Drosophila melanogaster: one gene and its partners. The protein of the gene in region 1 interacts with the protein of each later gene in a pairwise test. Each region holds a gene or a part of one and is shown in the gene's direction. Other genes may lie near its edges.

What was found.
Region 2: the proteins of CG15545 (region 1) and drl interact in a two-hybrid assay, tested with the Drosophila melanogaster proteins (one large-scale study listed by BioGRID).
Region 3: the proteins of CG15545 (region 1) and Hmx interact in a two-hybrid assay, tested with the Drosophila melanogaster proteins (one large-scale study listed by BioGRID).

What each region holds. Positions count from the first base shown.
Region 1 is NT_033777.3:30,868,392-30,875,704, reverse strand, and holds CG15545 (uncharacterized protein), read left to right. Parts: upstream 1-3,353; 5' UTR 3,354-3,424; coding exon 3,425-3,442; intron 3,443-3,505; coding exon 3,506-3,751; intron 3,752-3,834; coding exon 3,835-4,647; 3' UTR 4,648-4,766; downstream 4,767-7,313. Other genes in the region: CG15546 (uncharacterized protein), read left to right, coding at 1-803; Cpr100A (cuticular protein 100A), read right to left, coding at 7,022-7,313.
Region 2 is NT_033779.5:19,186,405-19,194,948, forward strand, and holds the start of drl (derailed), read left to right. Parts: upstream 1-3,937; 5' UTR 3,938-4,324; coding exon 4,325-4,430; intron 4,431-8,544. Other genes in the region: pigeon, read left to right, coding at 1-251, 315-616, 675-1,838, 1,895-2,127, 2,187-2,401, 2,472-2,696, 3,042-3,181. UniProt on the Drosophila melanogaster protein: Probable coreceptor of Wnt proteins. Involved in neuronal pathway recognition and ventral muscle attachment site selection. Non-vital for development. May be part of a signal transduction cascade involved in learning and possibly memory.
Region 3 is NT_033777.3:17,555,002-17,563,536, forward strand, and holds the start of Hmx (H6-like-homeobox), read left to right. Parts: upstream 1-3,928; 5' UTR 3,929-4,362; coding exon 4,363-5,192; intron 5,193-8,535. UniProt on the Drosophila melanogaster protein: Transcription factor involved in specification of neuronal cell types.

The sequences.
Region 1 (7,313 bases):
ACGATTATGTAAACGAAGCAGATAACCTAACTCAAAATAACGCCAGGAGACCACAAATGGACTTGAATGACAAGCGCGAAGTGGAACTGAATTCCAAGAACAGTCCCAAGCTGCAGGTCAAAAGAAATGTGCGCAGTTTCAGCGTGGAACTGGAGCCCAAGGTCACCAAGAAACCCCTGAACGACAGTCCCGAGTGGCGGCGGCCACGCCCACTGCCCCTGCCCAAAAGGATACTGAAGCAAACGTCACAGGATCAGGACCCGTACGACCATCTGGAAAGTCGAGTCCGAAGATTGCAACTAACCCGAAGTCCCGGACTGCCCAAAAAGCATGTGACCTACAACGAGGAGGCTGCCGAGTACGCCTACTACGATGATCGGGTGGATCGCGATGATCGGGAGGATCGCGAGGATCGTGAGGAGCCCACCTACGAAACTCGCTACCGTCAGCAGCCAAATATGCCGACAGGAAGTCGCCAGCAGCAGCAGCAGCAGCAACATCAACGCTCTTTTATGGAAACTAGTCGGAGCAAGCCATTAAATAATAATAATAATTATCAGGCCAACGGCAATGGTAGGAAAATCTTTCCAAAAATGCCACAGACCCAATCCGGAGTGGGTAACACACACACTATCGACGAAGATCCCCCCGTGCCCTCTGACCCTCGCAAACACCTGCGCAGCAGCCTCTGCTTCAGCGGCGACGCTTTGATGGTGGGCGGTACGGCGTCGCAGTCGCCGCCCACTGCGCAGGCGCGTCGCAGCTCAGCGGGGCAGAGAGTGAGCGTGGGTCTGCCGGACTGAGGGCTCCAGTTCGCGTGTTCAGTGATTAGTGCAGCTACACAGTGAGAAATGCAAGTGCAAAAACATATAACTGAAGCGATGAAGAAGATCATACAAGAATATCTGCTTGACAATCATTAGGATGAAATAGTATTACAAATATTTCTCTATGTAGTAAGTCGACAGCAACAATCTGCATTGCTAATTGAAAGCCAACAGCGACTGCAACAGAAGCAGCAACAACATCTGCAGCACAACAGCCACATCAGCAGCAAGTTGATGCGACAGCAGCAGCTCAACCTTTTTTTAGTTTTTACTTTTACGATCCCATACAAACTCTGAATTCACCCACATGCGAATGAATGAGTCGGCTTTTTTGTTGTTTTCGAGCGGTTGAATATACATACATAAACAAACCTTGATCTTGACTAATTTGTCGGCGATGCTGTTGTTGTGCACCACGATCATGTATTAATTTAGCTTTTAAAGCCAACGCAGAAAAATCTATAATTATAATGATAGAGATATGCTAATAAACTAATACATATATAACCAAATAAATTTCGAATCGGGAAATATTCAATTAAGCCTTAAAAACCTACTATAGGCACAGAAAAATATACATGGGCACTTAATCAATTCGTTTGGTATTCAGTTTTCAAACTAATAATGAAAGAGAGTGAAGTTCAAGTTGTTATATATTTATATCGAGGTAATCGAAAGCAGGCGCACATTGAACTTGGAAAGGCTTGCCATGAATACAACGCAGCTATTCATTGTGTGCATTGTGTGAATAGAAACTTATTCATACCTCAAGCTCACTGATGGGCCTGTAATCTGTTTGGCAATATTATGAATCGATCTAGTATGTAATTCATAGACCGTAATGTAATTCGAGGCACCCTTTCGCGCGGCTTTTCTTTATCGACTCATTTGAAATTCCCAACAATTTGCTAGTCTGGCAATCAAGTCCGTTGCTCTGGGCAGCTCACCTGGCCAGCCCATTTTGGGGCTGGGGCTGGGGCATTCGCAGGTCCCTGCCCCTAGCTCCTTTCACAAAACTTTCAGAAAGAAAGAGCCATTGAGGTGGCATTGTTAGGAGCCAGCGGAAATCCAACCAAGCTTGCAGTCAAGTTGAAGTCCAAGTGCCAGTTTAAATCGCGACTGGTGGGGTTTCCGAGCGGTTTCACAAGGAAACGGGGCATTATGCGGCGTTGCAACCAATTGTCACGCGTGTTGAACTTGAGCTTGACCTTGTCTTGGAACGGGGTGTGGAATCCAACCACCCATTGTCCAGCCAGCAAATTGCAACAAGTGCGGCAATTATCCAACATATGCCACGGGGCTGCAATCAAGGCGGCATTAGCCGGGAATTTAATTAAGGCATCGCTTTAATTGCCGACAATCTGCAGCTGCCATGGGAACCCAATTCAAAATCCAGAGACAGGATAAGCGTGCAAAATAATTGTGCAAATGAAGCGTGGTGAAATGTTACGCAACTCCCTGTCCATATCCACTGCCATTTCTCAAACCATTTCTTCGTCCATTTCCATTTCCACATCCACATCCACTTCCACCAACTCCGGGACAAGACAAACTGCTCAACCTCCGCTCATGTACGTCCATACGGCATACATCTTCCGCATTTCGATCGCGCATCCTGGCCGATAGAAAGTAGTCCAAGCGTGCCGGCAAAAAAGGCGAAAGGGGCCAAAAAGCAGCGCCAGCTGGCTAACATTTCCTGGCTCGACTTGGCCCCGACTGAACCTGAACTTCGGGCCAAATGCGGAGAGAAGAAAAGTGCAGCGTTTATTGGGTAATACTCGTGGAAACCCGTTTGCCGCAAGACTGATTTAAAAAAGTCGATAGGATAGGTGGTTCTTCTGCTTTTTAGTGGGTGGGTGGCTCGTGCCGGTCGACGTCATACACATTAAAAAATTGTTGGTGTAAAGTGAGCGATTGTAATAGTTAAATATTTAATGGAACGTAGATATATTACCATTTTCGATTATGATTGTTATGATTATTAATTAGCAATTGTAAGTTTGTTACTATCGAATAAAGGCATTCCTTTTAGTTAGCTGTATATTAACAAGTTTGAGGTCAAATTACGCTACTCAAAAAAGCCATCAATCTTTGCCTATTAACTATATTGTCGTACATTTTGCATATCTAATTTGCTTACTTTCCTATTAAGTCACATACCACAACCTAAGCCCCCTCCACAGTTACAACTTCGAAGAAGTAAATGGCCATCGTTATGTGTAATTACGGCCATAAAGAAACATTTTATTTATGCCCCCTGCCCCATCCGATAAGTTGGCGCTCTATTTCCTAGTGGAAATGCAAATAATGCCTCACTTTGCGCGCGGTAAACTCTTTTTTTTTACTCCATGTTGTTGTGAGTAGTAAGTCCATGCGTGAAGCGGAGATTTCGATCTGCTACTGACTAGCTGCTCACCTGGCAGGTTTCAATTGCGATTGCCATTGCGAAACATGTTGCAGCAGGTTCGAGGAAGCTAGCATAAAACTGTTGCGTCCGTTGGCCGAACTTTCAGTTTCGTTGGGGCCACGCTGGTGGTTAATACCATTGAAGAGAGTTTTCACAAGACGCAATCACCCCGAAAAAGCCGCCACCCAAAATGAAAGTGTGCTGGAATGTAAGCTGTTGCATCCGCAATCGTAGATTCACAATTAACATGAAATGGATACTATCTCCTTAGTTCTTTGCTGCGGCGGTGCTGTTAGTGACGGTCACCTCGGGGCTGAGACCCCCACGATCCTACTATCGGAGGAGCTACTTCAGTGCAGTGGGTTCAGGATCTGGGCACGCACCCAGCTCTCTGCCAGGACCAGTGAGAATAGGACCCGCTAGTTACTTCCGTGCCGATCTGCAAACAAATGAGAGCAAGCACCGGCCACTGAGCAAAAAGTATCCCAAGAAGAGCCACTACAGACCCTACGGATCGGTAAGTTGGCCTAACAAATAAGATATCAAATAATAGGAAAGATCTAAAAGCCCGAAATAATACAATATTCCCCTAAAATATAGCAAGAGGAAGAGGACGAACAACGCTACAATTCCGCGGAATATTCAGGAGAGTCCTCCGTTCAGGATAGTCGGGAATACACGATTGGCACCCAAATTCGCGTCCAGCATCCCATAACCGTGCCCAAGAAGTCCAGTTCCGGCTACCAGAAGCAGCCAAAATATGTGACGGCCATTCCATACAAGGCATCTGGTTATGGATCCGATATCCACAAGCCCTCCGGTTATGGATCCGATGTTCATATTGGATCTGGAGAGGATGTTGGACCTCCTCCGAAAAGATCGAAGTGGACCCCAGTGCAATACGAATCGGAAGCCGATCCCTTCCATCTAGTGCCACCTCCAAAGGCAACCGTCGCCTCCAGCAGCAACTCATATAGTGTTTATGAGCCCGAACACGATGACTACGAGGTGGTTCCAGTGCCCCGACCAAAAAGCCACGATCGCTACAAAAGCGTCGCCTCCAAGAAACAAGTAGAGGCCTACCTAGAGGATCAGCAGAAGCTGCTCGACGAGGCCATCAAAGTTCAGCTTTTGAACAATCCGAAGCTGCAAAAATTCTTCAAGGCCCAGGCGCAGGAACAGGAGCGGGAATCGCGGCCAGACCTCGAAATCGAGGATTTTGAGGCCTATCCGCCCAACTTTTCGGGGCCCGGACACCTGCGCAACAAGTACATCGAACACCCACCATCTTCTCCGCCGAAGGGATCTCGATCACGCCGGCGTCCTCCAAGTGGAGATCTTAACCGACCACCCAAGACCATCATCAAACCGAAAAGGAAATACCGATCCACAGCACTGGTCATCAATGTGTGAGAGGGATTACTAAGTCCTGACTTAATCGTTAATTAAAATATCGTTTATAAATACTTAGAGTAGTCTTGTTGTACAGAGTATTTTTAAGTAATAAAAGACCATTTATTTTAAATGCCCCTATTTAAATGACTTTATCTTGGAAGTTTGGTGTTGATATGAAAGAAAATTATGGATATATTTTGATGCATTTAATTTATAATTTACGAATTTTAACATACGAGTTATTTGGCGCTTAGGAGCAGTTAAGCATAAATAGTTGTATATTTTATAAAGTGTTTTAATATACTTTTCTGTTGTATCTATCAAGAGAACGGTGGCGGTCTCTATCGGTTTTTGAAAGAAGTATAGAGTCTCGGTTCTTGTCTCAGCTAAATGTATGGTGTCCCGGCTTTTCTACCATTTCATGAGGAGAATTCGTCACCAAAGTGAATCCGATAAGGAGTGTTGCTGGCTTATTTGCTTAAAAAAAAAAAGATTATATCACTTAACTCAATTGCAAATAACCTTTCAATTTAATGATGTTTTCAAGTTTATAATACGCCACTTTAATTAAATATATTAATTACTCATCAATTTAATTGGATTCTGTATTCGTCACACCCACATCGCCATAATTGGAGTGAGTTCCACATTTCACGACAAATTCTGGCGACGTTTACCTTTTTAAAAATAAACGCAGTCAATCATAAACGTGTGTTGTTCATAAAAATAGACGTATTAAGAACACTTTGGAAGCAACACACCCATGAGACACCTGTTTCGATCCCAGGCAAATTCTCGACTCTTACCTCTTTCGCAAATCCGAACGAAAATCCGCAATTGAGCAAGCCAATTCAATCGATTGCGATTGCCGCAAAAGTGGGTGCACAAAGGCACGCGGAGAAGAAATCATAAAAAGCAATAAGTAGCAAAAAACAAAACCGAATTGATTTTCTTAATTGACTAAACAGTTTCAACAGAAGCCAGACCCCAAAGCCAGGCAAAGCAAAAATCCAAACTCCAAGCCGGACCCTCGAGTCCACAACAAATCTGACCTTGAAAGCTAAGCTCTGAAAAGTGTTGCTAATATTGTTAATGTAATCGTTGTCGGTGGTGAAAAGGAATGCCAACCAATGGATGTGGAAAGTACAGAGGGAAAAATGCTAAAAATAAAGACAACAATAAAATGCTAGCACTAAAAATATTTAAAAAATAAGTAAAAATGGAATCATGAATAAAATATAGTCAAATTAGAATAGATTTTGAGAGATATTGAATGAAATCAATTATTTCAGCATGCCCTGAATTAATTTATTATTTCCGAAGTAAATATATAGGTATAAGTGCAATTAAATAATAGAATAGCAATCGGTGCTCGAATTAAGTTGTAAACTATAACACACATATGCTGAGAACTCAGCAGGTGAGAGGAAATAGCAAATTAGCTGGCGGCATTCTTGCGTTCGATGGTGCATAAAATATGCAAAACATTTGGATGTTATTAAGTTGCACTAACGCAACTGGAGCCTGACGGATCGCAATACCATTGGGAATTGATTTAGAGCCCCAATCCCCTAATGAACCAGTGCCACCCCCACTTGCACATGGTTTTCCGGCTTAGCCAGCACCAGCACACCAGGCTGATTTCATTTTCATCGGAATTTTGCACAATTGGCCAAGATTACTGTCAAATGAGCGAAACCCGTTTGAGGTCTTTCCTTGTTGGCCGCATAGAATCGTAACAGAAACTCGAAACTTGTTTTGCACGTACGAAAGTCGGTTGTGTAATGCCGCATTTAGTGGGCGTTCACCACCCGAGGTGTTTAGATAAATCTGCTGGAAATTAAATAAGCGGCCACTGGCCGAAAAACAAAAGACTGCAGGACACGAACTTGGTTTCCTTCATATATTGTTTTTACTCGATTATAGTACAAATTGCTCAGACGTCCCAAGGCCCAAATTAACATAGTTTCTAAATTAATTTTGATCATTTTTCAACATCATCGAAGTTTATTGACTTCTCTTTTCTTGGGAAGACTTAAATGGAAAGATTAAAGTTTAATGGGAAAGTCACAGAGAAAAAGGCCGACATTTCTTGAGTTTTTTCATATTTCAAAAATATGCAAATGATATTTTGAATATATTTTGTAATTTAAATCAGCAATACCCATTGGGCAGCAGCGATTAATTTTCTCTGTGTAGGATTATAAATTAATAACAAACAGTACGCATATAGGAAGTACGATACAATTGCTCTTAAACATATCACACGAGAGTTTGATGGAGTCAAGAAAAGAGTAGGGGTTCTAGTTGTGATAGGGAAAGTTGGAAAAGAAGAAAGAGGATCCCTACTAATGAAGAAGATGCATAATGTCTGAGTGGAGGACAGTGGGGCTTATACCTTGTTGAAGGAGTAGGTGAAGCCATCGGGCGTGCGGTTCAGGGACAGTTTGCCGGGTGGCGAAAAGCGGTGTGGGTTGGGGGTGGTGGTGGTGTAGTACGCCTGCTGGGGTTGCGGCTGCTGATACTGGGGTTGGGGCTGCTGATACTGAGGCTGGTACTGCTGCTGCGGCTGCACGGGCTGTGGGTTGTAGGCGGGCTGGGGAGCAGGACGGTACTGCGGCTGGGCAGCGGGCTGCTGGTAGCTCTGCTGGTTCTGTCCGAAAGAGGGATCGTTGTAGCGGGGA
Region 2 (8,544 bases), on another chromosome or scaffold:
CGACAATTGCCGTGAGATCGTCCAGGCAACGATTAACAGCAGTGTCACATTGCTGTCCTTCGTGGAGAAAACTGAGGGCAAGCTCTATCAGGCCTTTGTCGTGGAGGTAAGGAGCTCCGAAGGTGGCACGGCCACGCCCCTCAACTCGGAGCCCTCCAACCGCCAGATGATGACGCAGTTCCTGTGGCGCGTCGAGAGTGCCACGCGCACCTGCTGGCAGGACAAGCTACTGGTGCTCACCCACGAGGAATGTAGGTGTCATGTATATGTCATTATCCACCTCTAACTCCCATGCTCGTACCTGTTTTTTCTAGCCATCAAGCAGTACAGCTGCGTGGTCAAGCAGAGCTCCACCACATGCTCGACTGGCGGAGGCGAGGGCAGCGCCTGGAGGCTAGACACCAGCATACTGACCTACGAAACGCTGGCCAGGAACTTTAGCTGGGCCCAGTGGGATCCCGAGTGCCAGGCTCTTTATTACATTCACTTGAAGCCGAAGGCCAAGAGCCTCAGTCTGCTGGACGAGAGGGAGGAGGCTGGCGAGCAGACAACTCCTACTTTAAGCCCCACGCTCTCCGCCTTTCAGTTTAACGAAAAACAGCCAACGGAAACAGTGGTAGGTACTTAAAGATTAAAGTATTACGTATAGGTGTAGTTACATCTTTCTATTGCAGCTTAATATACCCCTCAATTTGCCAAAGCTGCCCAATGGCTCCAAAGAGGAATCGCCAAGCTACGATGACGATGCGGTTCCCTTGCGCGTGCACGATAGTTCGCTAAATCTCATCATACTGGCGGACACCTCGGGCATGTTTTTCGTCTGTCACTACTACCTGTACCAGCCGATGCAGTCGGAGCAAAGGGATGTGCACTTTGCCTACTCGGTGACTTTGCTTCACCACGGCTATGTGGTGCACTGCGTCATGCCCGGTGTGCCGTGGCAAAAGGCCCGTCTGCTGAGGCCAACATTTGCGCTACACGGCCAGCATCACTTGCTGGTGTCGTCCGCCTTTTTTGTCCACCTCTTGGACGTGGGACTGCAGCACGAACCGAACTGCCATATCGTGTGTGCAGCCCACAATCGAAGTCCCGATATCACACAGCTGGTGCCTTTGCGAAAGTGGGGAGCTCTGGCTTATGATGCGGCCACCTTGGATCTGGTCTCGTTGTCCGTGCCCAAATCCCATTTGATAGAGGCTTTCCGCAATGACAGTTCGCTGGACAATAGAATCAGCATTATCCACTACTTCCTTTTGCACTCGAACGATATGGATGTGTTGGCCGAGCTGCTGAACAATATCTTGGAGCGACCACTCTCCCTGGATACGGTGGCTTTGCTGAAGGAGGCTCTTGTGGCTGGCAGCTATGCGGCTGCTGTTCGCGGACTACCAGAGGATGCCAAGCCACTGATGCGACTACTGCCATTGACTACTGCCTTAGCCTCGCGACCAATCCACGCAAAGGTGGCCGATATAAGCGTGGGTCTCTCTCATGAAACCCTGCACAATACCAGCATGATGCTGCTCTCGCCACAGCAGCGCCTTTCACCTTATCGCACGGACATCTGGACTCGCTTATGGGACCTTCTCAACGAGTCAGCCAAGCAGGAGCAGCCTAGATTCAGTGCTGAGCAGGTGACGGAGAAGTTGATCTTTAGTTTGGCCTGCTACCAGCCGGAGGCTCTGTCCAGATGCACCACGCCACTTTCGCCAGACACGGGCACCGGTGGATTTGGTGACTATAGTAGCGGAAGTGCTTTTCCATTCAGCAACGAAGTGCTGCCCTTTATCGAACTGGAGGGATGCACAGCCAGCAAGCAGGAGCACGTCATTTCTGTGGTGAGTTGCTGCGTAATCTTGAGGTAACATTTTTATTAAAGCTACGAAATTTACAGTATCTGCGCGAGCTGAGCGTTCACCTGGTGAAGCACACGTCAAAGCCCAACACTGGCTTCCGCTGGCTGAAGGAGACCTTTTTCGAGCGCTCCCAGGCTCCAGCTCATGTGCATGCGGTGGCCTCCCAGTTCGTTTCCGCGCAGCTTGAACTCTCGCGGGCTCTTTGCTCTCTGGTTTGTCGTGCTGCAGGCCTAGATGCGCGCATGGAGACCTCGAGGGGTTTTCAGTTGATGTGAGTTGGTGATGATTTCAAATGTGATCACTTTTCACTCACGTCTGTAATGATTGCAGTGACCAAATGGCTGCCAATCAACAGCACTCTCTGTTTCTAATCCTCGAGCGCTATTGCCTGGCTGTGGAATCGATTGCGTTTCCCCTGCCCGAGGGTTTCTCCTCGTTCTTCACCTACTTGGGCTATCGTGCGCTGGGCTATGATATGTTTCTGCAGTATGTGGAAAATCATGTGTTCGAACTGCAAGTGGATGTGATGAAGGCCATTGTTTTCGGTTTGTAACAAATATATATACTTGTTTTCATATACTGTTCATTTCATTATTGCTTAATGTATTCCTTCAGATATTGAAGATTCTCCACTGGGCATTGAGCGGAAGCTATCACTTTTGTCTGCTCTGCCCAAGCAGCGTGCTCAAAGGTTACTCAAATGCTGGCAGCATCCGGACAGCCTTATGATCCGCGGACGCGAGCATGCGGCCAACATTCTGTCGGGTCAGCAGCAGGAGGTGTTGCACCAGCAGCGACCCACGGCCTGCGTGAATCAATCGCGAAATAATGCGCGGAGCGGTAAGATCTTGCTTGGTTAGCCCGCCATAAACACGTTAACTTTTCATTTGTACACTCTTCACCCGAACACATCTCGTCCAGCTTTGGGCAAGCCCAACACTGTTGTTTGTCACTCGCTGCTTTTGGTTTTTCTGCTTTTCATTCTAACCACGGTCGTCCTGAGCATATCGAGCTATGCGTTCAGGCAGCGCCCTCTCATCTGGTAGAAAACATTCCCATCGCTGACCGGTAAGAAACGCTGTTCAGTGTTCGCCAGTCGTTGTCCCATTTGCACATTTTGTTTCTTGTTATCTAACTTAACCATAGCCACCTCTCTAATGACCAATTTGGTTGGTATTCTTGCAGATCTAACTGCCGAAGCCCTTTCGCCACTGGACTCCTTTCTGGACCTGCTGACTGCGAAGGCCAGTCTAAACGAATTGGACTACAATCTGCTTATTGAAACTACTCTAAGCTCCATCGATCAGCTGAAACTGGAGGCTTGAATTTAATGTTAAGAGTAACTAATGAAGTATTGTGTCAAATTATCAAGTACTTAGCCAAGGCCAGTTTGCAAATATTCCAAAGATTTGATTTGTCAAATGTATTAGTTAAGATTCTTCTCGTGCAGCTTTGATTTTTGTTAGGGTTCTTCTGTGTGCTTTTAGTATTAATTTTCTGTTCCTATTATTTGTGTAACGACTGATACACATTCCAAGTCTGTAATTATAAATTATTTATGTTGTTAATTGATGTACCTAAAATCATGTACGTATTTATATATTCTGTACTTATTTATTTTATGCTTCTGCAAGCTTCTGTCTCTCTTTCTGTAATAAACTAACGATTTATAAAGTATAAAATGTCGTAATGTTTATTTTTGGCAACATGAGTTTAATTCGAAATTGAATCAAACACAATAAAAAAAAGTTAAAAGGTTAAAATCATTATATTACATCATTAATTCGAATTCATTTGGGAAGTTTGTGGGTCTATTTTTTAAACTTTATATGAATGTTTGTTTAGTTAATTTAATAAAGGATATCGAACAGTATGCCAGTTTTGGTATTTAGCCAATTGGAGATGTTCGATGAGATGTTCGAACTGCAACCGAGTTCGAGGTTCCAACACGACTGTTATACGGGTTCCAGCCTTCAAGTTCTACAGAACAAGTCCACGAGCGCCACACACAGTCCACAGTCCACACTCCACTCCGCTCGGCGTGGAAGCCATTCGCTTCGTGGCGAAGTGTTTGTTTATCCAGTTGACAGTTTGTGGAAAATCGTCACGGTGAGCGGATCAAACGCGGAAAACGAACGCGGACGAACGGCGAGAAAAGCGAGGAAAAACGGGTGCAGAGACAGAGACTGATTGGGAAATATGTGCGCCTGAGTTTTCCCGGCCAGAAGGCAAAGTGCCAAATGCTCTGACAAATAATTCCTGTAATAATCAGCGCGATTGAAATCAACGCGACGCTCGTAAAATTGCAAATGCAGCGCAAAAAGTGAACAGCAGTGCAGCGGAAATTAAATCGTTTTAGCGAGTGCCAAACGGGAAATAGAAAATCGGCAGAGTAGCCGAACTGCAGTTAAAACTATCTCTTCCTCTTATTGCGACTAAACAACCGGCGGATTAATCGAATCCGAAAGATGGCCCCCAACTTGCTAACAATCGGATTACTTTTGACCCTGATCGCCAGCGGTCAGGCCCATCTCAATATTTTCCTCAACTTGCACGAGGTGCTGCGCCTAATCGGTAAGTAATCGTGTTGATTTTCGCCTGCCTTTTGGCTTTTCAATTAACTGGGCAATTATTTGCCACTTTGTGTGCGTTCGTTCGACTTTAAATCAAATTTGATTTATGCCAAGCCGGGATTTTGTCTCCTGGGCAAACGAATGCGACTTGCTGGGATTATTTACTCTTTTTGCGTAAATAATATATGCCTTTTAATTGTTTCTAGCCTCGGAGCTACATATAAAGTAGTATTGTCCCTCCTTCAATTGGCCAGCTCACCGAGAAACAAGAAAACATTCTATTTGTCTAGCATGATTTCCTGTTTCTTTGATTTAATTGTTCGTTAGACTTATCTAGATAAATAGAAATGCTAAAGCGATTTAAATTTGTATTTCTTTGCGTTAAATTAAATTCGATTGGCAAGTGGATTCATCTCTAGATAAGTAATCCCTCTATAATCAAAGTTTTTATTTAAAAAATCATATTTTTTCATAGTTTATCCAATTTAAAACAATACAAAACAATTTTAGATATATTTTATAAACGTCTTCAAAAGAAAATAAATAGTAAAATCATGTAGTCAAAAAATGACACCAAAATGAGTATTTAAATATTTAGTTTAGTTTAGTTTATATTATTTATTTAGCCTAACTATTTTCCATAGAAGAATACTACTCTAATAAGCTTAAAAATCCGAGTGACTGATTCTTAGCCCTTATCAAAACAGATTTGTTTATCTCCATCTAATAACCAGGTTTCCACTTGGCCAAGCAAATCGGCTTGGGATAGCTCGAGTCCGCAGCCCAAGTACCTTTAATCTACTTTTATATTTATACCTCGCCCCGATCCCCATCCCCAACCTCGTCTTCTTGGACCCAAGCCATTCCCCGCCAGAAAGAAACACACACAAATCCTGTCGAAGAGATTGCCAAGCTAATAAAAGTGGGGAAAATTGTTTTACAATGTGTCACAGGGCCCAGACAAAGAATTTACAACCCAGTGAATATAAAAAATAAATCAGTAGCCTCAATCCATGGGCCAAAAGGAAAGGGTGAAGCGGCCCAAGTTGTGCCACATCCATGTGGCATCATAAAACACATGCAAAGTGTTTGTTTTGTAGGCAGTGTGTTCTGTGGATCGGGGGCGCAGGGAGCTGTATAGCTGATAGGGAAAAATTATCAAAAATTATGTTGTAAAATTTACAACACTCGCGTGTTTGTGCCTCCGGCTGATTGATGGGCGTCAGGAGTTTCGGAGTGCGGAGTGCGGAGTATGTAGGTACGCAGATTGCATCGCGTCACTTGTGAATAACTGGGTAAATATTTGAACTGCAGTGCCGGGCTGCTAATCAGGCGCTTATCTAGCCGCTTATCAGCGTCTGCCACTCGTCGTAATTCATGTTTGATTGCAGTTCTGGCCCCCGAGTCCTGGCTGCTCCACTACACACCTCGCAATCAGTTGAAAGCGCCAGCAGACAATCAATCAAAGGCGATACGGCAAGTGGGTGGGATGGTTTGCTATGGGATGGATGGCCAGTTGAGGCTTTCCACTTGACATGGCAGCGGAAAATTTATTAGTTGTGTCAGCCGAGTGTCAAACGAAATCAGCATTAAAACCCATTAAGCGGTGGCCGCTATTCATTTTTCGCCCGATTCCCGACTCCTCCAATTGCACTTTCCCCAGAGGGTTTTTGGTTTTTGGTTTTGGGCTTTCGGGATTGGGTGGCGATACCCTCTCCAATTATTCAGCGCTGACAGCGGGTTGCATGCCTGACCTACTTTCCGAGACTTCACTGTGTGTGTGTTCGCAACGCCTGGCTAGGTGTCACTCTATTTTATTTTATTTCACTTTATTTTTTTAGCGGTCGCTTCAAAAGCCTTTGTGTGAGTGCACATCAATTAAATTGTCAACCCAGGAGCAGAGTGAAGGAGAATCGCCCAAAGAAGAGCTCCATGCACTTGCATGCAGCTGCGGCATGGCATTCACTGTTCGTTAGGCTAACATCCATACCCGAACACATACCCATAGCACACATGTTCCATCCCATGGCCCACCCACTTCTCCATCCAGAAGTGCGCCCCAAATTGCTGTGCTCTATGCTATGCAAACCATGTCAGGTGTGGATCAAGCCGGGCGGCGGTGGCGAGGGTCTTCTTGGTTCGGTGGCTCTGTGGCCCAGCTCGTTAGCGAAATGAGCGGATATGTAAAGTCGGTGCAGTTGATGGATTTTGCGGTTGCAATGAGTGACCAAAGTTGTCGGCGTTGGGTGTGGATAGTCAAGGGTAACACGTTATCTAAAGGGAACTACCATTATTCCATCTTAGGACACTGATCTCCCAGGCTTTGTGGCACCCCACTGTTAATGGCAAGGAAAGCAATTAAATTCATATAGCCAGAACCTATAACATCCTATAACATTCGGAAAACTTTTCCCCCGCCACACACTTGGCTCAATGGGGCTTTTAACTTTGCCCAACTTTGTAGCCCTGCCAGCTGTCTGAGCAGATCCCTCCCTAATCCATGTAACCCATGGATGTTGCCAGTCACGTTTCGGGTCTGTCTATCAACACTTGCTAATCTCAACCCCATCCCAACTCTCTAAATGGTTTGACACTTTCAACTGGCGCGGGTCGAAGGATTCATCATCTCGAAATGAACATGATTTGCCGGCGAACAATGGCGATTGTTGCCAACTCACGTTTGGCTAATAAAAGCAAGAGCATTTGCCCCCAAACGCAACATATTTCGGCAAGTAATGTGAACTCAATTAGGGCGCAGCAGCATCATCGCCATCATCTGCATCCCAGGATTTGGCCCAGAAGTTGTAGTGAAATCTCTGGCGTGCGTGGCCAAAAATATTTCACCCTCGGAATAATTAATGCTGCAGTTGGAAGCGAAGGCATTAGATCTGCCCGAGCGTGCGGCATGTGTTGCCAACTTGCCACGCCAACACAAACAAGCGGTTGCCCCTGCCACCTGTCTCCTGTCTACACGGCGAAAAACATTTACTCAGTACATCAATTACACTTGTACTTACTTATTATGTTTGTGATTTAAAATCACTCTTGAGTGCAACGAGTACACAATGATACTTTTATCTAGAGAGTTTTTGATACTCTTTTGCTACTTTTGGAATTTTCGCTGCGTGTAGCGATCCATTCAGTTGCCAGGTTGTTATGTCTGGCTTCATGCAGAGTTAAACGCGTAATTGGCAAATGAACAACGCGGACAGAGACAGGCGGCAGAAATGTCGATGCAACAGTGACAAGGACGACGACATCAGATGCTGCAGCAACAGCAACATCAATCGATGCAACAGCAGCAACTGCAGCAACTTCTGTGCCAACAGTATGTGCAACTTTTCGCTGGTCGGGAGGAATTTTATGCTTTCATTCGAAATTATATAAATCATATAGGAAAAAGGATATAAAAATATATTTGAATATGAACAAATATAGCAAAATAGTAATTAAATATCGAATTGATTATGGTATACTTAGAAATGTCTTGTACTTTCTGTGCTAATGATACGTATAATTATCTTATGCATGAGAGCACAAAATTTAAGTTCTAGATTAGTTTTTCTGCGTGCACTTCCATCCCCCACCCCTCGATTATGGCTAGTCATTGTGCCCCTTCTGGCCATCACTTCATCCCCGTGTGTTGCACAATATTACTATGCATCATTAACAAAAAATCGGTTATGGTTAGGCGGCAACGCCTACGTAATTTAAGCCACCACTGCGCTTAATTAAATCACTAAATCATTTGCGGATGTTGTGTTTGCTTGATTATTGTTCAGGGTGACAATTATAGCAAATTATCATGAGCAACTTGTTGTTCATCATGCATTCGCACCCACATACACACACATGTGCACAAATGCAGATTTTCCAGTCAAAATGTTAAAGTTTTCGAACCAAAAAAAAGTGCAGTAAACATAAACTAACAGCTTATGGGGAGTTTACAATAAATGGAGGCTTTGAATGTTTTATGGTGCCTGCAGAGCAATTTTCTGTTTAAATGTAATCGGATTCCACAAATAACCCTTTATAATCTTACATGCTTTACTGCAATTTACGATGCAAGCTGCATCTCGTCGCCAATAGCCATAAAATGTAATAATTATATTTGA
Region 3 (8,535 bases), about 13 Mb from region 1:
ACCGCACTTGCCGGTTTAATTAGTAACTTGAGGCAAAGTCGGCGGGAAATTTTGTAATACATTTTCATTTTATGCGGTACTTAGTTTTACTCTAACTGACTAGCTTATCATATAAATTGATAACATTATTATATCGGATATTGGCATCAATTCATTATTTTACATAGCCAAAAAATGCATATTATAGTTAAAGTAATTAAACGAGTTAAATACATTTATGGCAAGTTACTTGATATTGCTACCAATAAAATTACAAGCAAACAAAGAGGAATCTATTGTGCTTGTTTTTTTTTTTTTTGAGTATATTTTATTGTTTGAGATTTCAAACATACATTTTATCTCCCTTTGTTAAGCCGACAAATTTAATGCGAATTCCTAACCCTCTCGGTGCAACATTCTTATATTTATACTCTCCAGAAAGGCACTCAATCTGCAGGAGCAAAAAGGATATATGGAAAAGGAGGAAGAAGTGGGAATTTTGGTAACACACATAAGTAACGCACAAGGAAATCGGGACATAAACGGAAACGAAAACGAAAACTGTTCAACTGTTGAAATCATAAAATATTACCTTTCGCAATACAATTTATTTAAATCAAAGTCTAAAGCGTTATTTACGAGCACTGTGGGGTTGGATGGGTTGCTTTTCGGTGGAAATTGGGGGTGTGCGAGGGTGGATCGATGGGTTTGGAGGGGTTTGCGTGTGGTCCTTTATACATTCATTCCCGCCATTGTTTGCATTCTGAAAGAAGACAAAAGCCAAGCCCCCAAAAGCGAAGGAAAGCGCGTCACACAAATTTGGCTGACTAATAGCCGCAAATAGCCGAAACGATGATAATGATGTGATGGGTGGTCTGGTCAGCCCAACTTTGCTATGCCAGGATCCATATTTATGGAGGCTTCTGCCCACGGACGGGAACTACAACTCCATTTGCTTTTAACCATTCCATTTCACGTTCTGCACGTTTATTGTTTTACCATGCTTTCTGCCTATTATACAAAATTCTACAACAGACGGATGGACAAGAGCCTTCTCCATTTGCCTAATGTGTTTGTGTGTGTGAGTTGGAAAATCGAAATTCGGAAAATTCCGAAATTGAAATGGAGTGTGTCTCGGGTATTTAGCAGGAATAATGTTAGTTTTTGTTCGACTACCTTCAATTGCCAAATTAATTGCAGTTAAGTCGAGCAAGCTAAGCCCAGCTTGCTTGCCCTCTCTATCACTGCCCCTATTCCCCTCTCTTTCGCATTGCAAACTTTGCTGAGTGTCTGTCTGTCTGTGTGTGTGTGTGTTTCTATGTGTGTGTGCATCCTAAAGTGGAGTCAATGAAAATTGCAACTCCCACTTTGCTCGTACGTCAATTAGACCTCCTTCTCAGCCACCCTCTCATGTCATCTCCTTTCGCTCACACACACAAACAGGCAGTGTGTGCCAGAGGCTCCTGTCTTTCTCCTTCTCTCTCTCTCTCTCTCTCTCTTTCTACCCCTGTGTCCATCTCTTTCCATTGCAGCTTTAGCTCTTTTATTGCAGTGCAATTTGTTGTAGAAATCGTTTTGTCCGACAGTTGAACAGTTTGTTATTTCTTTTAAATGTTCCCAAGCAAAGGAGCTTTTCCAAATTTTTGTGGCTTGCCTTGGCCAGCGGTCAGGCATTGAGATTAATGGGAGTTTCCTTCTCAGTCCATCCTTTAAACTGCACAGGCAAAAGGATCTCCTACGGTATGTATTTGAATTATCACAGATTCCTATAATAATGTGCCTGTTTTTTTCTTTCAGTTTTACTTAAGCTACCACATTTCTCTTAATTCTTCTAATTCGATATAATGTACAACAGACTTTTTAAAATATATAATATTTTTAAGTGATCCTTAAAAGCCTTAAGATCTTTACTTTTCAGTGTAACCTTTAGTTAACCTCTTTGATGGCATTTCCAATTTTCCCAAATGAGCGCAATCAAATCCGAGTTGAAATTTCCTCGAGAACAGAGCGAAACACAAATGAAATCATCTGAAGGTGCTGAGTGAACGCAATTTCCATTTGTGAATTGAGATTGAAATGGAAATGGGGCACCACCTAAGTGTCACTATTTCTGAAACCGTCGAGGTGGCCGGAATTCTTCCAATTCCCCACTCCATTGTTTCCCGGAAAAGCCCCGTCCCCCATTGGATTTATTTTTTATACACCCCCAATCCCACTCTAAAGTCTTACACGAAAACGAATCAAAAACAAGCAATGCACAGAGGGAAATTACGGAAAAATGTGTTACGGACGCAGGTGATGGCTCCGTCAACACACACACACACACACATGCACAGCTCCTCCAAGGGGAAATGGGAGGTGGTGGGTGGCAGATGGGGGTGCTGGGCGGGTGCAAGGGTGGCGCCTTGCCCTCAGCACGTGGAGACGCACTTTGGCAAAAGCAATCTTCTAAACAGGATAAATGTAATTGCGCATGAATTTCTACGCATATTTCGGCGTCGCTGTCTGAGCTGCAAATGTTTGTTACCCATTTGTTTGGTTGTGTTTTTTATGCTCGCTTTTCCCGTCGCTGAAAAGCGTTCTCCGACATTTCGAGGAGCTGTCACCCCATTGGCCCTCCACTGGCCACGCCCCCAAAGAGAGTGCTCTCTCCGGTCTCGCCGTCTCTCTCTTTCGACGGGTAATTGACTCGCATAATGTTTGTTTTGTTTTGAGCAAATCGTTTGCAACACTCTTTGAATGCCTCGTGGTTGTCTCATAAAAAGCGAAAGCATTTAAAAATTCAATTTGCCCTCTCTCTCATTCTCTCTCTCTCTAACTTTTTCTTGCTCTCACCCGCTCTTTTTCTGCAAAGTTTGCAGAGCTCCTTCGCAAAAATGGCCGCCTGTTCGCTTTTTGGGGGAGGTTTTCTCTTTGGGGAACGGAACGCTGTGGAATGAAACATGCTATAAGGTAGAAAGCTCAGAGATTCCAAATAAAAGAAGAAACGGGAATGCATTACAATGACATGAACGATACTAAATATAACTTAATACGTTGGGAAATTGCTTACATATTTTTAATTATTTAAATATAATTGTTGAAAATCTTTCACTTAATTTCTTAAGGATACCTTCTATCCTCGTATTTTTGATAATATCGTTTTTGATTAACGTTGTTCTTCACCATTTCGTTATCAAACATAATAAATACATTTGATATTTTATACATTTGATAACACCCACAAAACCTCTTTTACTTTTCTTTGCATAATTTATAAGTTGCTTGTTTATTTCTTTCGATATTTTAGCAATTCAATGATTTATCTATATCACCGAACCCCATTTGTTGAAACTTTCACCGCTCAATCTGCTAACCGCAAGGTTGCAATCGACTGGTGCATTTTCGGCACACACTTTTCTGGTCGAAAAAGTTTGCATCTGGCTGGCTGGGAAATTTCAATGGCGCCACAGAGCAACACTTGACCCCTGTTAGGTGGCAATTGATTGATTTTATATTGGCATTTCAATAGACACCAGCCGAGCGAAGCGATTCGAGTCGAGCCGAGTGCGCCCCCACTTTAGACGCGTTCCAAATGCCAAGTGTTTCCCATTCGGGGGGTAGGAAAACCAAAGCGCACTCCACCAGCACCGCAGAGAAAAAATAGTAAAGGAGGAAAATGCGAAAAGTGTCTGTCGATGCGGTTGCAGTGCAATTGTCGAAATAAACGAAAAGAAATTCCGAACTGCAAATGGAATGAAAAAGAGCGGCAGAAGGGGTGGGCCACCAGGCGGTGAAAGAGAGGGACAGCGAGAGCGATAGAGAGAGAGTGGGACACACCCTCCCAGGAGGGGTAGCAAATACGCAAGTGTGTGTGTGAGTGCGGAAAACCATTTAGCGCAAAGACCAAAAGAATTTGCAGGGCTGCCAGCCAACCACCTCAGTCTCAGTTTCAGTTCCACGCTCTCCGGACACGAGACCGGGGGTTAAAAATCCAGAGACTGAAACAATAAAAACACTAAACGATCGCTTTGCCACACACAAACACAAGCACACACACACACGCAGACACACACAAGCACTCGCATACATACAGAGACAGAAAGGACGAAGGACTCAGAACACAGAACTCAGGACTGCGTCTGTTAACAGCCGCATTTAAATTCAAATGCGAAACGTTGATCAAACGGTGCAGACGTGTTTCTCCCAACGGTAGCGCTCGGCGTTTTCCCTTAACGAGTTTTTCGTGGCACGACTGAAGTGTACAAGGTTTGGAAAATTCTTTATTTTCCTAACAAATATATATAAAACAAAAAAAAAAAAACACACACACAAGTGCAAGTTGAAGAACAAAAGTGCTGAATTAAACGTTTAAACTGCAAATCTAAGCAAAAATCTCAAGCTATGTCTTCCTCCGAGGCCGAAGTTGACATCAGTGTGGTGTCCAGTCCGGAGCCGAGTCCTTTGGGCGCCGCTGCCCGCGACAGTCCGCTGCTGGCCCGCTCGCCGGCCCGTTCCGCCGACGGCAGTTCGCCCCCGGCCACGCCTACCCATCGCTCCAATACGCCCAACACGGCCGCCGGCACGCCCACAACGTCCGCCTCGGGCGGCAATCACTTCCATCACAGTCCCAGCGGAGGCGCTGTGCCGCCGGCGGTGTTGCACCATCATCTGCAGCACCATCTGAGCAGCCTGGGCAGCCATCCGGTGGCGCTGCATCACGCGCTCCACACCTTTGGCCACTTGCATCCCGCCCACGGGGCCACACATCCCGCCCTGCTGCAGCACGCACTCACGCCCACCGGCCAGCAGCAGCAGCAACAGTTGCAGGTGCAGCAGCAACACCAGCAGTCGCATGTCGAGCGCCTTAGTCCGCCAATGAAGAGTCCGGAGCGGAATGGCGGCGATGAGGTGCAAGGACACAGTCTGAACAACAACAACAGTAAGGCCCTCAATCACAACAACACTTGCGCCTCGGCGGCCGCAGCGGCGGCAGCAGCAGCGGTGGCAGCGGCCAACCTGAGCAACAACAGCAACGACAGCAACGGGAGCAGCGGGGGCGGCGGCGGCAAGAGCACCACCGGCTCCAACGGATTCACCAGCTTCTCCATCTCCAGCATCCTGAGTCGCAGTGAGCCGGCCAAGAAGAACGGCGCCGCCGGACTTATCACTCCGATCCCGCAGTTGCCGCAACCAGGAGCCGGCGGTCCACAGGATGCGGCCATGTTGTCCAGGTAATTAAAAAACATTCCAGACTTGCTCTAGTCAAAAATAGCCCTCCCATTTCAAATGTGATTAATCTTGTAAATATGAAGTCGCCAAATTTAAAAATCTTAGTGTCAACATTTTACTTCAATTCATTTTAACAATTTAATCTGCAAAAATTTAGTCCATCCATCTGTCATATATAATTAGTTACTTCTGACGATATTCAGCTATTCCGCCTAATTTTGATCCGCAAGATATTTTAAAAAAATACAAACTCGAACTAAAATTTCATTCAAATTTTAACCCTATAATTACTGAAATTAAATGAGTATAATTTCATATGCCCAAGGATTTCCCATTGAATACCTTTTTTTGTAATAATAAAAATCACTCGTCTTAAGTACCATACCCATTTATTGCTCAGTGTAGGCGACCCAGATTAGGACGTTCGCCGGCGAACTGAAACCAAAAAGTCAAGCCTTGCCTCAATGAGCCCAAAACCCAAAGAGGCTGCCATTCCACTTGTTCGCCCTCGGGTTGGGCCAATTTTGTATAATCGTCCTAGGGGAAGACAAGGCAAGGTGACACAAATCTCTTCGCAGGAAGTGCACAAAGAGGAGAAATGGGATGGAGACGGACTGAGATGGTAGCCGGGAGATGGTCGATAAGACCGAAAATTGTTGGGCAAACGTTACACGAGACATTAAGTGGGTGAAGATGCAAATGGCTAAAGTACCATGCCATTGTGCTCCGAGAATCTAACGATTCCAAATTCCAGATGCCAGACAGATAAAGCAAATCCAATGGAACCGTTTTTAGTTGCACTGGACGCTAGCTGACCTCGAATATATGCAGAAAAGGTCTAAACCATTTTTGCCCTGCAATTTGGCCAGACTATCGAGTTACATAACATTTGTTAGATGAAATTTAATGCACCGCTTCGGGAATGAATGTAACCGACTGTCCGGCTGATTGACGGACTGACAATGCTCCAGTATCGTATGCAAAACGTGGTCCTTTCGAATGAATGAACCCTCAGTCCCTCCAAGCTGACCCACAAAAACTGGTACGTTTCTACAGCTGTTTGTTGTGCGAATGCAACTTATTGATACACAATGTGCACTGGAAATAAACAAGTCCGAGCTAATATTAACGGATTTTGTAAAATTTAATTGTGAAAAATAGCACTCGAAAAATGTACACCTACATAAATCTATATTTATTTAGGTACTATTCATTAAAGAGCTTATTTCTCTTGCAACATATTCCATTGATTCAATTTAAATTTGTCTCAGTGCAAATGCGTTTTTTATTCATTTCATTCATATCATAAACGCTGGCATATTAACCCCACTTAGCCGGCTTTTTGAGTCAGCGATCGAATTTCCAGGCAGCTCGATTAACGCATGTGTTGAATTAAAAAAAAAAAAAAACAACCAAGAGAATTTATAAGTTGCACTTTTATTTTACGAGAGAATGGGAGGGGGACTCCCCCAGACGTTTTAGTCCTCGAACTTTTTAATAACGATCATTTTCATTTCATTTACGCGTGCCCGCGTCGCTGATCGTCTCGATAAGGAAAGTCGGGCTGGTGGGCAGGTTCTGTGGCCGAGGGTCGCTACTGTCCCAGTCAACTGGACTGTGGCCCGTGCGTGGTTACCCCAATTAAGGACCTCGTCCTGGACAAAGTGTCGCCTCCTGCTGTTTGGCGCTAGCCCAGCTGACGTGTGGCTGCCTATGTGACTGGCTTATCAGTTGATCATCATCGGCCAGAATGATTAATGCCGGGGGGATATGAATACGAGTATGAGCACAGCAACATTGCTGAGTGATCGTTTAATAGTTTGAGCCGACTTTCTCCCGGCGGAGCTCGGCTTATTTTGACAGTTGCGCTTACGTTTTTAATTAGTCGCTGGGCTTTCTCTGCAGCCTGTACTTAATTACGATTCAGTTGGGCGAGCGAGCGGGGGATTCGAAAAAGTTGCGCAGCCAGATAGCAGGAAAAAACCATTGAAGAGGTGTAACCCGATATGCTTGTGAGTGGACTGGAAACAATGGGCAACGGCGAACGGAAAGGGTGCTCCTGCATTGTCCTTTTCTCCCAGGATGACGCAAAAAGCAGACGATGACATTATAATTACACACACACATACACATACAGAGTAAGGTATACATAGAGTAATTACAATCCAATTGCAATCGCAATGGCAATTGAGGACCTAACCAATCCCATAACATATCTCTTCATCTGCAACTGATTTTCGGCGCTGAGGGGATTAGTGTTTAGTGGTGAAATGCCTTTGATTCCTTATCGCGATGTTGTGGTGGGAACTTCTATGGTCGCAATTTAATCAAAACATATTCTGCAGACCATCGGATGCATCCAATCTGAGTCTGCGGCTTGACTTCACCCCAACCTCTCGGATTCGCCGGTCACGTGTCATTTGGCGGGGCTTCCCATGGTGGCAAATCGACAAAAGATGAAATAATAGCAAAAAACCAATATCATGCTCTTCACAAATGTCACCATTTTCGGTTACTTTGTTTAGTCGCCTCAGATCAGTGGGACATAGCCTAAGCCGCTCCCCAGGCACTAGACTATTGCTAATAATCCCGTTTAATGACAAAAGCAAACTTCGCTGCCCATTCGAGTGTTTAATATTTTGCCTACTTTTGCGGCCAGGTCGAGTATGCCTCGAAAACCGTTCGAGAACCCCTCGAAAACTGCTCGAAAACCCGTACCGTTAAATGTCAACAATGTAACATAAATTCCTGGTATCGGAAGGGGAGTACGGAATTTCGGAAGGGGCGATCCCGCACGGGATGGACCAATTAGCGTGTGCAAATCTTTCATGCATGAGCGATTCCTAAGCGGTTTTAGGGCTCACAGATCGGTTGGCCACACAAATTTAAATAGATTTATTTAAATCAATTTCGCTAATGCGACAATCGTATGAAAAGTGCGGGTAATAACATTTGAATTGGTTAATACTCCACTCGTTGCTTAACTTAACCCCAGCCACACGGTTCACATCACTTTGAACTTTCGCTTGGATCTCGACACAAAGAAAGCCCCACGGATGGCTCGGGGACATCAAAGCCGAAACTCATAGCCAACCAGAAACCGATGTTCGACGCCATGTTAAACAACTCAATTGCACAGCCCATTCTATGCCTTCATGCTCTATGATGCCAAGGACAAAGGGATCCCAAGTCGCGGAATTATGATGGGTGAGCCGGGGCGAAAGGAGCCCAAAGCGAGAACCGCAAACAATTCATTAAAAGCTAAATAACAAATGCATCAACCCCCCCTAAATATCCTCCCCATTTGACAGCCCGGGGCTGATTGGAGGTCTACGAGGGTCCAAA